Linked DNA regions of Kluyveromyces lactis. The protein of the gene in region 2 interacts with the protein of the main gene of each other region in a pairwise test. Links are inferred from orthologs where the notes say so. Each region holds a gene or a part of one and is shown on either strand. Other genes may lie near its edges.

What was found.
Region 1: the proteins of NMD2 (region 2) and UPF3 interact in binary tests that used the Saccharomyces cerevisiae proteins (3 or more experiments, as listed by UniProt). The link is inferred for Kluyveromyces lactis from reciprocal best matches to the Saccharomyces cerevisiae genes NMD2 and UPF3.
Region 3: the proteins of NMD2 (region 2) and NAM7 interact in a two-hybrid assay, tested with the Saccharomyces cerevisiae proteins (8 studies listed by BioGRID, with this or other methods). The link is inferred for Kluyveromyces lactis from reciprocal best matches to the Saccharomyces cerevisiae genes NMD2 and NAM7.

The regions. Positions count from the first base shown.
Region 1 is NC_006040.1:317,265-320,477, reverse strand, and holds UPF3 (Upf3p), read right to left. Parts: upstream 1,754-3,213; coding exon 521-1,753; downstream 1-520. Other genes in the region: KLLA0_D03740g (uncharacterized protein), read right to left, coding at 1-279; YNK1 (nucleoside diphosphate kinase), read right to left, coding at 2,166-2,624. UniProt on the Saccharomyces cerevisiae protein: Involved in nonsense-mediated decay of mRNAs containing premature stop codons.
Region 2 is NC_006040.1:1,125,472-1,129,597, forward strand, and holds the start of NMD2 (Nmd2p), read right to left. Parts: upstream 2,802-4,126; coding exon 2,796-2,801; intron 2,713-2,795; coding exon 1-2,712. Other genes in the region: PEP7 (phosphatidylinositol-3-phosphate binding protein), read right to left, coding at 3,084-4,126. UniProt on the Saccharomyces cerevisiae protein: Involved in nonsense-mediated decay of mRNAs containing premature stop codons. It interacts, via its C-terminus, with NAM7/UPF1.
Region 3 is NC_006038.1:566,466-570,827, reverse strand, and holds NAM7 (ATP-dependent RNA helicase NAM7), read right to left. Parts: upstream 2,921-4,362; coding exon 11-2,920; downstream 1-10. Other genes in the region: MBR1 (Mbr1p), read right to left, coding at 3,404-4,362. UniProt on the Saccharomyces cerevisiae protein: RNA-dependent helicase required for nonsense-mediated decay (NMD) of aberrant mRNAs containing premature stop codons and modulates the expression level of normal mRNAs. Also capable of unwinding double-stranded DNA and translocating on single-stranded DNA.

The DNA.
Region 1 (3,213 bases), about 810 kb from region 2:
GGAAAGAATCTCTCTCCGCAAATTCTCTTGAATCATTCGGTTTTTATCGTCCTCAGTTTGATCGTTTTCTGAAGACAAAGATATTGGACTCATCGGTAGTTTATTCCAATGTTCCAATTCGCTTTTCAAGCCTCTGTTCTCGTTTCTTAGCTTCTCGACTTCAGCATTGAGGCGTTCCAGACTTTGCTTTAAAGTCATGACTTCCTTATCCTTCAACCCAAGTTCATAGGTCAACTGTGCTAAATCTCCTTCTAATTCTGTAGTTCTAATATTCACCATCGATCGATGAAAATTATGGCGAGTGATATGCGTGTGTAATAATCCTTAGTTGAGTTTGCAAAATGAATTTGTTGTTAGTCCACAAAGCTGCTAATATTAAAAAGTCCTGTCACACTCCCTTTAAATATCAAGTGTCAGAGATCAGAAATAATATTCTGCACATTTGAATAAATGAAAGGGCACGTAAAAGAGAACTAAGCCAAAATATCGAGATGCCATCCATTGGTGCGATGTCTGCATATTAAGTTGGTTTGTCTTTGTGTTTAGGTCCATCAGACTGCCTTCCTTTTCTACTTTTTCTCTTTGATTTAGCTTTCTTATCTGATTCACTTGATGGATTTTTTTCTGGCTTAGTGTTTTCCTGCTTACGCTTCTCCGATTTCATTTCCTCCACATTGGCAGATTTAGACTTTATTTTTACCTTAGGAGTAACTTTAGAGGGAGTTTCCTTTGTTTCTTTGCTTGTTAAATCCTTCTTTACATCCTTGTCTTTGTCTTTATGTTTCTTTGATTTTTTACGTCTTGCTCTCTTCGTTACCTCCGAATCTGCAGGCATCTCTGGTTTGGGAACATCATCTTTCTTTGGTTTCAACAAAATCTTCTTCTTTGGCTTTTCTTCGGATGTTACCGCACTCTTCTCAGTTGTCGCAGTGTCAAATTTCGATGATTTCGGTTCAGATTTCGATTTAGGTTTAGATTTGGATTTGGATTTGTGTTTGGATTTAGACTTTTTGGGCTTCTCAACTTCTGATTTATCCTTAGAAACATCTTTCTCGTCCGGATTATCCTTGTTCTTTGCCTTAGCACGTTTCAGCTTCCTCTTCTTCTCTAATAGTCTTAACTTTTTCTTAATCTTTTTGATCCTCTTCTTCTTTTCTTCGCTTGTTGGATCACCAGCCAATTCTATTAGTGCTCTTTGCTTACGTCCGTTTAACTCTTCTTCCATTTTTTCTTCACGTTCTAATTCCTTTCTTAAAGGTGCAATAACACTTAAATTCTTGAACTGTAATGAGTTGGTTTCATCTTCATTAATCAATTTCCATGATTTGACAAAGGTTTGAAAGACATGGTCCTTTTGAATCGTGCCTTGAATAGGATTAACCTCGTTGGGACTGACCCACTTCTTAACGAACGGCGAGATTTGTAAATCTGGAATCATCGAGTTATCCAAATCATCTATGAATCTGCATGTTCTTATTGTTTTTGACAACGATTGAATGGTTTCGAAGGAGTCCAATTGGATATATGCCCTAGACAAAGTCTGTTTCTTGAACACCTTGCTGGAGTAATGACCTTGCACGTAGTAGAATGATTTTTGAAATGAATGCACATCGATGTTGTTCTCTTGTAAAGTGCTGATGAATTGCTCTTCTGTTAAATTTGGTGGTAAAGATCGAATACATAATTTGAATTCACGGGAAGAGTCAGCACTCCTCTTCCGGTACCTCCTTCTATTTCTTTTCTTAGAGAGCATTCGTGAAAGAACGCAGTTTTACTGAAGGATCTTGTCTGAGGTATTGTGATAACAGCTCATGTTTTCGTTAGGGATGCATTTGTGATGAAGAACAGATGTGCTAACTGAAATTTTTTAGTGCAATTAAGTAAAATAATACTATGACAAACATAAATGCAAATTGAACCGTAATCGTATCAGTAAGCTGGTAGAAACGTGAATATACCCAACGCAAGTCGGGGTTACAAATATGAATACAACATCGCAGTATAAAGCTTAATGGATTTCAAAATGTGTGTATTTGAGATATATCTACATAGTAATAAATACCGACACACAGATACACATCATATAAGAAAAGACATCTTTAAATATGGAATAATTGTGGGAAAGAATATGTATTGATAAAGTGAACAATTTGTCAACGTTACATTTATTCGTAGATCCAAGACAATTGGTTCAACTTGTAGTCAATAAGTTCTTCCTTCTTGAACCACAAGCCGATTTCCTTTTCAGCAGATTCAACAGAGTCAGAACCGTGACAGACATTTCTACCAACTTCAATGGCAAAGTCACCTCTGATGGTACCTGGAGCAGATTGCAATGGGTTGGTAGCACCCAAGATAGCACGACCTTGCTTAACAACATCCTTACCTTCCCAGACAGTAGCTAAAACTGGACCAGAAGTCATGTAAGACAATAGAGATGGGAAGAATGGCTTGGAAACCAAGTCAGCGTAGTGCTCCTTCAACAAAGCTTCGGTTGGAGTAACCAACTTAATACCAACCAATTTGTAACCTCTGTCTTCAAAACGAGCTAAGATCTTAGAGATCAAACCTCTTTGAACACCATCTGGCTTGATAGCAATGAAAGTTCTTTCAGTGTTAGACATTTTTCTCGAGTTAGTTAATACGTGATTCTGTGTACGATCCTGCTATGAACTAAGAATCAATGGAACATAAGCAATCGCTAACCCCAGAAGTTGAAATAAAGTGCATGGAAAGAAGAAAGTTACTGCAAATTGAAATCAACGAAATTGAAATATTTCTCGAGAGAGCCAACGAATGAGGATCCGATTCATGCTCGATGAGATTGGTGCAGACGAAGAAATGCCGGGGAAAATCGAAAATGAGAGAAAATTTTTCCGGCACGTGACTTTGATTAGTTGATGTTTGGGGCTTCTTACTGAGGAAGCTGTAAAAGTATGGTTCATCATACACAATAGCAGAAAGGTGTCCATATCGTTAGCAAGCGCATTCGGAGGTTGGGATTAGGCGAAACACTGTATGTAAACCCCAAAGAGTGTTTATGGATATATGTCGAGGCAAGTCTTCAAGTGACTTTATCGATCACGTGACAAGAAAAATCAACAAACGGAAATCATGGTCTCTTGAAACATTGTACCTGGCTCATCTAATATTAAGGTTAGAATCAGACAAATCAGAAAAACTTCTGGTTGACATTTGACTCAGATCACCTTT
Region 2 (4,126 bases):
ATCATTCATATCCTGTTCATCGCCATTATCCGAATCAGAACTATCATCAGTAGCTGAGCCATCAGATAAGGAAGATATATCACTGAGTTCTAGTTGAGCTTCGTTTAGTCCCAAATCAATTTCAATGTTGTCAAGGACTCGTATAGTTCCATGTGCTGTATCAACTTCTTCCTCGTCCTCATCTTCATCATCATTCTCATCATCATTCTCATCATCATCATCATCGTCTTCATCATCATCATCGTCTTCATCATCATCATCTACATCTTCATTCTCGCCTCTACCAGTACTAGTCATGGCTTCGGCAGAAGTCACCCCCAGCTCCTTCAAAAGCAAGATAAGTTTTTCATAGCACTGAGACCAATCCGATGACCTCGAGTGGTCAGGGTATAACGCAAAGACATTTTCAACTTTGAATGAAACTTCATTCGGTAAAGGCTGATCCTTACAGAAGATGTAATACTCGAAAAATTGAATGAATATCTTTAGTTTCTTCAATGCAAATTCAGACTTACGGTTTATGCCCAATAAGATTGTTGAAATCAATGATATTCTGAAGTAGTTGTCAGGTAAGTCTCCTTCATTGATGAAGAAAGGATTAGGCTGCCCACTAGGATAACCGAAACGGAGAATTCGATACATCGTATCCAAAAGGACTTCAAACTTAAGGAATGAAGTATTGTATAGCTCTGTTAGGTACTTTACTTGTGAGACTCTGGCCATGTTTAGACTATATTCTCCCGATTCAAGCCCTACCTGAATCTTCTCAAGCAAAGTATCTACTGTTTTGATCGTAAAGCTCTTGTAGTGCTTGAACAAATACGTTAAAATATTAGCAAGTTTCGGTAGAGATTGATAGCTTACTTTTTCAGGTTTGCTGAACAGTGATAGTAATGTTTTCTCCACATTTGGGTCATTCCACGAAGCTTTTAGAATTAGTTTTAGGGCCGAATTGAGTGAAACATTATCTAATTCCCGACGGATCAAAGTAATAAAGAAAAGTTGTTCAGGTGAAAGATCTCTTTTTTCCTGGTTGAGTACGTTGAGCTGAGGCGGGTATATCAATATAATCAGATTGTCCAATGCAGCTTTATTGTTAACGGTTAATAAATGGTCCTTCTTCTTTTCTTTGATTAATACCATCATCTTCTCCATTTGGGGCTTGAATTCTGGCGTATTGATCAAGAACTTGCCGAAACTTTCAAACAAGGTCGACAAGATTTCGATATTATTTGGAACTGTAATATTCATCGCCAATGTCCTAATTTTATGGAAAATCATGAATGATGGTATTAACATAAATTTAACCATCTCCGCGAAAAAAATGATATTCTTAATATTGATTTTATTAGAATGCAACTGCGATCTGAAACCTGAGTCAAGGTATTGAATTAGTTCTTCTTTAACTTCAGAAAGATAATTCTCGTTGTTTGCCATGAACCTTGCATATAAAGAGATTTTACTCCAGTCTTTACATTCCACGAAAAACTTCATGAGTCTCTTTCTTGTCGCTTTGTTATCAAGATTTTGCAACCAGTAACGACGTGAAATTTCATCTATTTCATCTTTAGTCTCTACTGTCTCAAAATCAGCAAATAATGCTATAACGTCTTCTGGACTTGGTGTTTTTTCTGGGTCATAAGTAGCATAGGCGGCACTTAAATCAGCCAGATTCTCATAAAACCTCCTGTTTTCTTCGTTCTCCCAAATTGGCTCTTGCTTCTCCTTCCAGTCAGATGCAGGCGTAATTATGGATGGCTCCTGCTCTTTTAAACTTTGTTCTATATCTAAAAGTTCTGGTGGATCCACGTTAAAGGCTTCCGCTAGCGCCGTTGCAACCGTAGAGAACTTTTCAAAAATTGGATTAAGCTCATTAAAATCATCAAGATATTCACTGGATTCCTTACCAGTTCGTATTTGTGCTTTATGATGTTCCTTCATAAGCTTAATGGTTTTCTTATTCAATTCCACCGTCTGTTGGAACACAATATCTTTGTAGATTTTGAATAACGATCTCAAAAGAGTTTTCAACTCCTCGCTGTTGATTAAATTGTCCATATCAGATACTTCTTCAGAGAGTAATTCAGGATACTTCTTTAAGATCAAAATTGCTACTGGTGTTGTTAAAGCCTCCTTGAACTTATAATTTAACACCTCTCTTAATACTATAAACACGATTGGTTCCTTTTTGGAGTATCTTTTTACAACAAAAGGAGGCAATTTACTCTTGTTAAGATCATCTAAACTCGGCAGCACCCCAGTCAAATGTAATTCAATAAGTACACGAGTGCAAGCTTTCAAAACATTGGTTCTGGTGGTTTTATCCTTTTCAGTTTCGGCCTCATCAGAAGACGTCTCAAATATGAAAAGGAACGATTCTATCAAGGGTAACGTAAAATCCATATTGAACCGCTGGTGCAACCCACTTACTATCTCCACCACTGCAACAATATCATCACCCTTACCACTATTCTTAAATAATGCTTCATTTGTAGTTGTTATGATTTCTGATAGGTACTTCTCCAAAGATACCTCTCTGATATCGTTGAGTAAACCTGTCTTCGATTCCTTTGCAATACCCTGCTTCAACTTCTTAATGAAACCCGTATTCCTCTTAATACTAGAATCAAGTTTCTTGGCTTTATCAGGGAATACGTCAATCCCGGTCCACGCCATACTGTTAATTTCATTCAAGCTTGATCTCCATTCATTCTAAACACAAATTCAATCCATAAAAGCAAGGCTTTCTGTTAGTATTCTCGAAAACTCTCGACCACTTAAAAGCGTACACATACGTTCATTATGTTATTTGACGATTGGATAGGTTCAAAGTCGGTGCGTAAAGTTCTTGCTGTCGCTGTGACGTGATTTCAACAGAACTTTTGTTCGATGACTTTGGTAGAATTAACATTTCACAGGATTTTTTTTTTATTCAAAGGGCTTTCTCATACTGGCATCTCGACAATAAGTTACAGAGCGAAACGGATAGAGTTTTGGTTGCATTTATATTATCGTGCTTGTGATAGAAGAGTGTTTATATGGTTCAATAGAATATACACCTAATTGAGTGTTAAATAATAATTTTAAAAGCCTTCATCACCTAGCTTACTTTCTAAATGCACTATGTTCTGATCAATTTCTGAAAGATTAGTTTTCAAGGATATCGCTTCCTCGAAGCGCCTTTCCTTGGCAGCTGAATTAAGCATATTTTCGACTAAGTATCGTTGTTCATTCAAAACCATAAGTTCTTCTCTGTACTTCTTTACTTCCGCAATTGTTAAATTATTGAACAAAAGATCCGATGATGTTGTGACTTCTACTTTCTGTGACACAGGGTTCAAGATTTCTGGTATTTTTTTCAAGGGTAGCATTTTCTCCTCGATGAACGCTGATGCATGTAGGGCAATTGACTGTTGTATTTTCTTCTCTGCTGTTGATTTTGTATCCAACTGAACAATGCTTTTTGATAATTTGTCATAAAGCGTTAAATTTTGTAATAGCTTTCTTCTTAATTGTGCTAGGTTTTGAATCGCAGTCTCATCTGAAGCGGGTGCATTATGTATCGAATCTAATGCTTTCTGGAATCTGGGGAGTAAATTTACTACAAGCGTTTCGAGGTTGTGGAGATTTTCGTACTGTTGTAAAATTTCCGGTAGTTTCAATGCCTTACTAAATTGGAGCTTACGCTTTGCAAAGACATACCTCAGACAGGAGGAACAAATTCTAACTCCTGTAGAAAGGTCTGATATTGCTTTTAAGTTCCCGACATTCTCGAAGGAAAGGTCTGGGGCCGCACTCATCAGGTTCAGGACTGGAATATCGCTGGAACATCGAGTTTCTTGTCTATCGCACACGATCTGACCGCATAATCTACAATGATGTTTCCGCATCAAGAGTCCAAACGGCTGAGAGCATATGCCGCATTGGGTTGCCATTTGATCATCCTTCCACTCTACGATTGATCGTTCCAAAGCTATAATTCCTGCTCTGATCCTGAACGTTGCAAAGACCGATGACTGATGTCGTACATGTAATTGAATTATCCCATTTATTAGTCTCAATAGCCTGTTTTCTAGCTGCAAAGTGATAAGTTCTCCATCCTCGTTCTTCAACTTTCTTATCTTAG
Region 3 (4,362 bases), on a different chromosome or scaffold from region 2:
GCGTTCATGTTCAATTGATGTCCAAACTCTTGAGTATGTTTAACGTTGATTCTTCATCAATGGTTTGATACTTTGAGCCCACTCCATTGTACTTCCTTAAGCCATTGGATAAACTTCCATCAAAATTGACCGCGTCTTTATCGTATTGGTTAACAGGATGCGTAGCACTTAAGCGCGATTGTGTATCAAAAGACTGTCCATTCCAATATTGTTGGTTCAATAACGAAGACAAGTCCGTGTTTGGAATAAAAGATTTTTCAACGACGTTTTGGCCACCGAATGAGACCAAACTTTGAGTGTCAAAGTCTCTCTGACCAGCATATTGTGTATAACTACTGTTGTTGGATGGGGCTTTCCTGGGTGCCCTAGAAGGTTTCGTCAATTGGACTGTGCAGAGTTGTAAATTATCCAAAAACCCTTCAACAAGACAACCCTTTTCTCTGAAATGAAGTAGTAGATGACTCCATAAGCTATTGCGAGATAGTGCCCTTGGGTTACCCAATATTATTAGACCGTATTTAGCACGAGTCAACGCAACATTTAGACGACGTGGGTCACTCAAGAAACCAATGGTGTTTCTCTCATTGGCACGGACACAAGACAAAATAATATAGTCTTTTTCTCTACCTTGGAAAGCATCTACTGATGCCACTTCAACGCCCATGTACAATGATTTTTCCATCGAACCATTCATTTGCATATATTGTACAACATATGCTCTCTGCCCCTCATAAGGAGTTATAACACCAATCTGTTCTGGTTTGACACCATCTTTGAATAGTCTTGTAATGATCTTTTCACAGTTCATGGCTTCAATTCTGTTCAAGTAGGAAGTACCATTGCCTGAGATCTCTTCACGACCATAGTTAGCCCAAAACATCATAGGGATAGTATGAATTGGCCATGGAAAGGTAGATCTTGCAATAGTACGTTGCTCGATGGTGACACCATTCTGTAAACTACCTTCGTAGAACATGTTGCTTGGGAATTCGCTTAATTGTGGATTCATTCTATATTGGACTTCCAATCTAATAGGAATGTGACCCAAGGAAATTAATCTTTCAAACAAAGATTGTTTCAAACCAGCGTCACCAGCTTTTCTATCTAAAATGACAGGACCAAGTTGCTGATGATCACCAACTAGAACAACTTGTTTGGCTCCCTTGACGATAGGGATCAAACATTCAGGTTCTGACGCTTGAGTACTTTCATCGATCAATACTGTGCGGAACTTATAGTCCAATCTTTTATCACCAGCGCCGACGCAAGTACAGCAAATAACATCAGCTTTTTGAATGATGGTAGCTTCTGATTTTCTCACTAACTTCACAAATTTCGTGGTATCCGATGAGGAAAGTTCCCCTGTTTTTTCCTTAAGATTGAGAAGTTTTTTGAGTTTACCTTCTGCAGACCTGCTGACCAAGTTATGCAATGCTAACTCGGACACTGAGCTCTCCACATCTTCTCTACTTTTAGCAGTTAATCGTACTACCTTTAAACCCATACTGTGCAACTTGGCAGCAAGATGATCCACTGCAACGTTAGATGGTGCACAAACTAAAACACGCTGTTTGTGGATTTTAGACAAATGATAAACAATGGTAGCTGAAGTGACGGTTTTACCGGTACCAGGAGGTCCCTGGATCAATGATAAAGGTCTTTGTAAAACATGCTTCACAGCATTACTTTGAGATTGGTTTAACTCGGTGAAGTGAGGCACAAAAATGCTTTTGGGTAATTCTACATCAAATTCCACATCTGGAACCTCTTGGCCCAATATCTTATAATACAAGAACCCTGATAATGATTTTTTGGTGACAGCAAATTTTCTTAACGCTTCTTGCATTCTAATATAAGAAGTTCCCCTCCATACAAAAACTGCTGTAAATCCTGTAGTACAATTAGTTGGTGGAGTTTTTTGACTTGGTTTCAATTCAAGAGTAAATTCATCTTTGAAACTGTTTGGTAGCTGGATGATGAAACCTTTTCCTGTCCAATCTGCATGTTGTGGACCACTATACTTTAAAATCATCTCATCACCAACGGCAACTTTTAATTCGTTAGATTCGAATGTGGATAATGCAAAAGTAGCTAGATGTCTGTTGTTCAATGCTAAATCCCATGTGACAGAGATGTGTTCTAAGGCCTGTGATTCCTTTAATTGCTTATCATAATCTGCTTCTAACTGAATCAAAGGACCAAATGATCTTTGGTACTGATAAGCATCAGTGTATCTCATCAAAGTCGGAGGAATATCTTCATCTTGTTCGACCATATCAATATCCATAATTGTAGCGTTTTTGTTTGATTTCCATCTTGCTTCCAATTTCGTAATTTGAGATGGAGTAATCATCCTGGCCTTCAACTGATCTTCTTCACTTGGTTCTTCTGCCACCCAAGATAGCATCTTCCTTTCTTCAATAAGTGGTTGCCAGTTATCTGTATCCCAATTAACATTCTTCATTTTAGCACAAGGCAATCTGCACAACAAGACCACAACAGCCTCACTCTTAGCCGGAACAAAACCAAGAACAAACACATTAGTACGTCCACAATTGTAGCATTCCAAAGTAGTATCTCCTAGCTCTGAGTCTGGATGTAATGAAACTGAAGAATGATGGGATAAAACTAAATGGTTCACAATATGGGAACTATTAGTACCATTTTTCGAATTACAAAACCATTTGCTGCAAATGTTACACTTGACAACACATGAAGTATTATCAATACCACAATATGCACAAGCATGTTCCGCAATAGGATCTGTATTAGCAGCAGTGCCGTGGAACTCAGAGTATTCCTCGTCCAGCATCTCATCAGTATCGTAGAAAAAGTTTTTGTCGTCATCGTCTCTCAAAGAAACAGATTCGTTTGAGTCCGAATCTGAATCAAACGGTTCATTTGGCAAACGCATCGTCATAAGGAAACTTGATTCTAATTGTACTGAGATAATAAAGGCACCAGTCGTGTACAATCTACTTCAAAGAATAGCTTTGAACAGAATAGATCGAACTAACCAAAAAAAAAAGTTCGCAAGAAATGAGTCAGAGTCACAAATCAAAATATGTTACTCAGCACATTGATAGATGCTCAATTTACAGAACTTCTTGAAAATACAGATAAAGTGATATAGGAAATAATAACTGTTGAAGCATATTATGATTAAATACTTTTATGTATGGAAGTTGATGCATTTTCTGATGAGATGTGAGATGAGATGTGAAGTACACAAACTGAAAAAAAAAAAAAAGAATCAGCAAATGCATGCAAAAGTCGGGTAATTAAATAGTGATTAGGTGACAGTCTATGTCCTATTACGTTTATATATTTGATGCATGAGGGTATACTGATGATTATGATTGGGGTAACTGAGGGTGGTTGAAGACTGGGGTTGTGAATTTTATTATGAGAAACTCTCTGATAAAGCCTGTTCAATGAAAGACTTTCTTCTTTTTCTTGCGTCCAAAAATGGTGGTGGATGTGAAGATGAATATTGGTTAATTGATTGAGTTCCTGACGGTATTTCTGGTATGGTTCTATTAGTGTAGGTGTTTGGATTGGCAATTGTGCTATTTGAACTTTGAGGTGAAGTTCGTAATGACATTTTTGCCAACGATGAAGAGACGGTGTCTTCTGTTCCATGAGTTGAAGCTTCGTCTGACAATTGTTTTGACTTATCAAAGAAGGATTCCGTCGCTGAATCCAATTCAGAACTTACGTATCTCTCCAAGCTGTATAAGTGTGTTGGAATGGCATTTGTAGATAAGCTAATGGACGATCTTGATCCATTGGAAGATTTAGGATCTATTGCGCCCTCGTCAGTGATATTAGTTGGGGATCCAAAAGAGAGACTGTTATTATTTATGGTATTGTTTGTATCTAGACATCCAACAGAAGAAGCAATGCTCTGTCTTGTGGGTTGTTTAGACAATGGAATGACTATACTGTTTGTCCTTGAGACTGGGTTTGAATCTAGCGAGAAACTGTATCCATTGTAAGAAGCGGACGATTTCGATCTAGGTTTCCTTAGCCCGTGGCAGTTCGAACATACCACACAACCACACTTTGATGGTGATCCAATTTTCCCCTTCAAAGAAGTATCTCCACGCATCATATTCGAACGGAATGGGTTCCCTCCAAGCTCTACCTCCTGAAACTCTTCTTCATTATCACTGGGAATCTTATAGTACAGCGTTTCCTCCTGCAATGGATTCAATTCATACAGTGAATCTTCTGCACGACTGTGTATCTCGAGTGGTTCTTGATCATCATTGTAAAAAGTAGAGCAAAAGGGGTCCTGCACTGATCTCTCAAATATGGAGCCTCTTTCATTGGGACAACCACAATGGCACACTAAAGGCT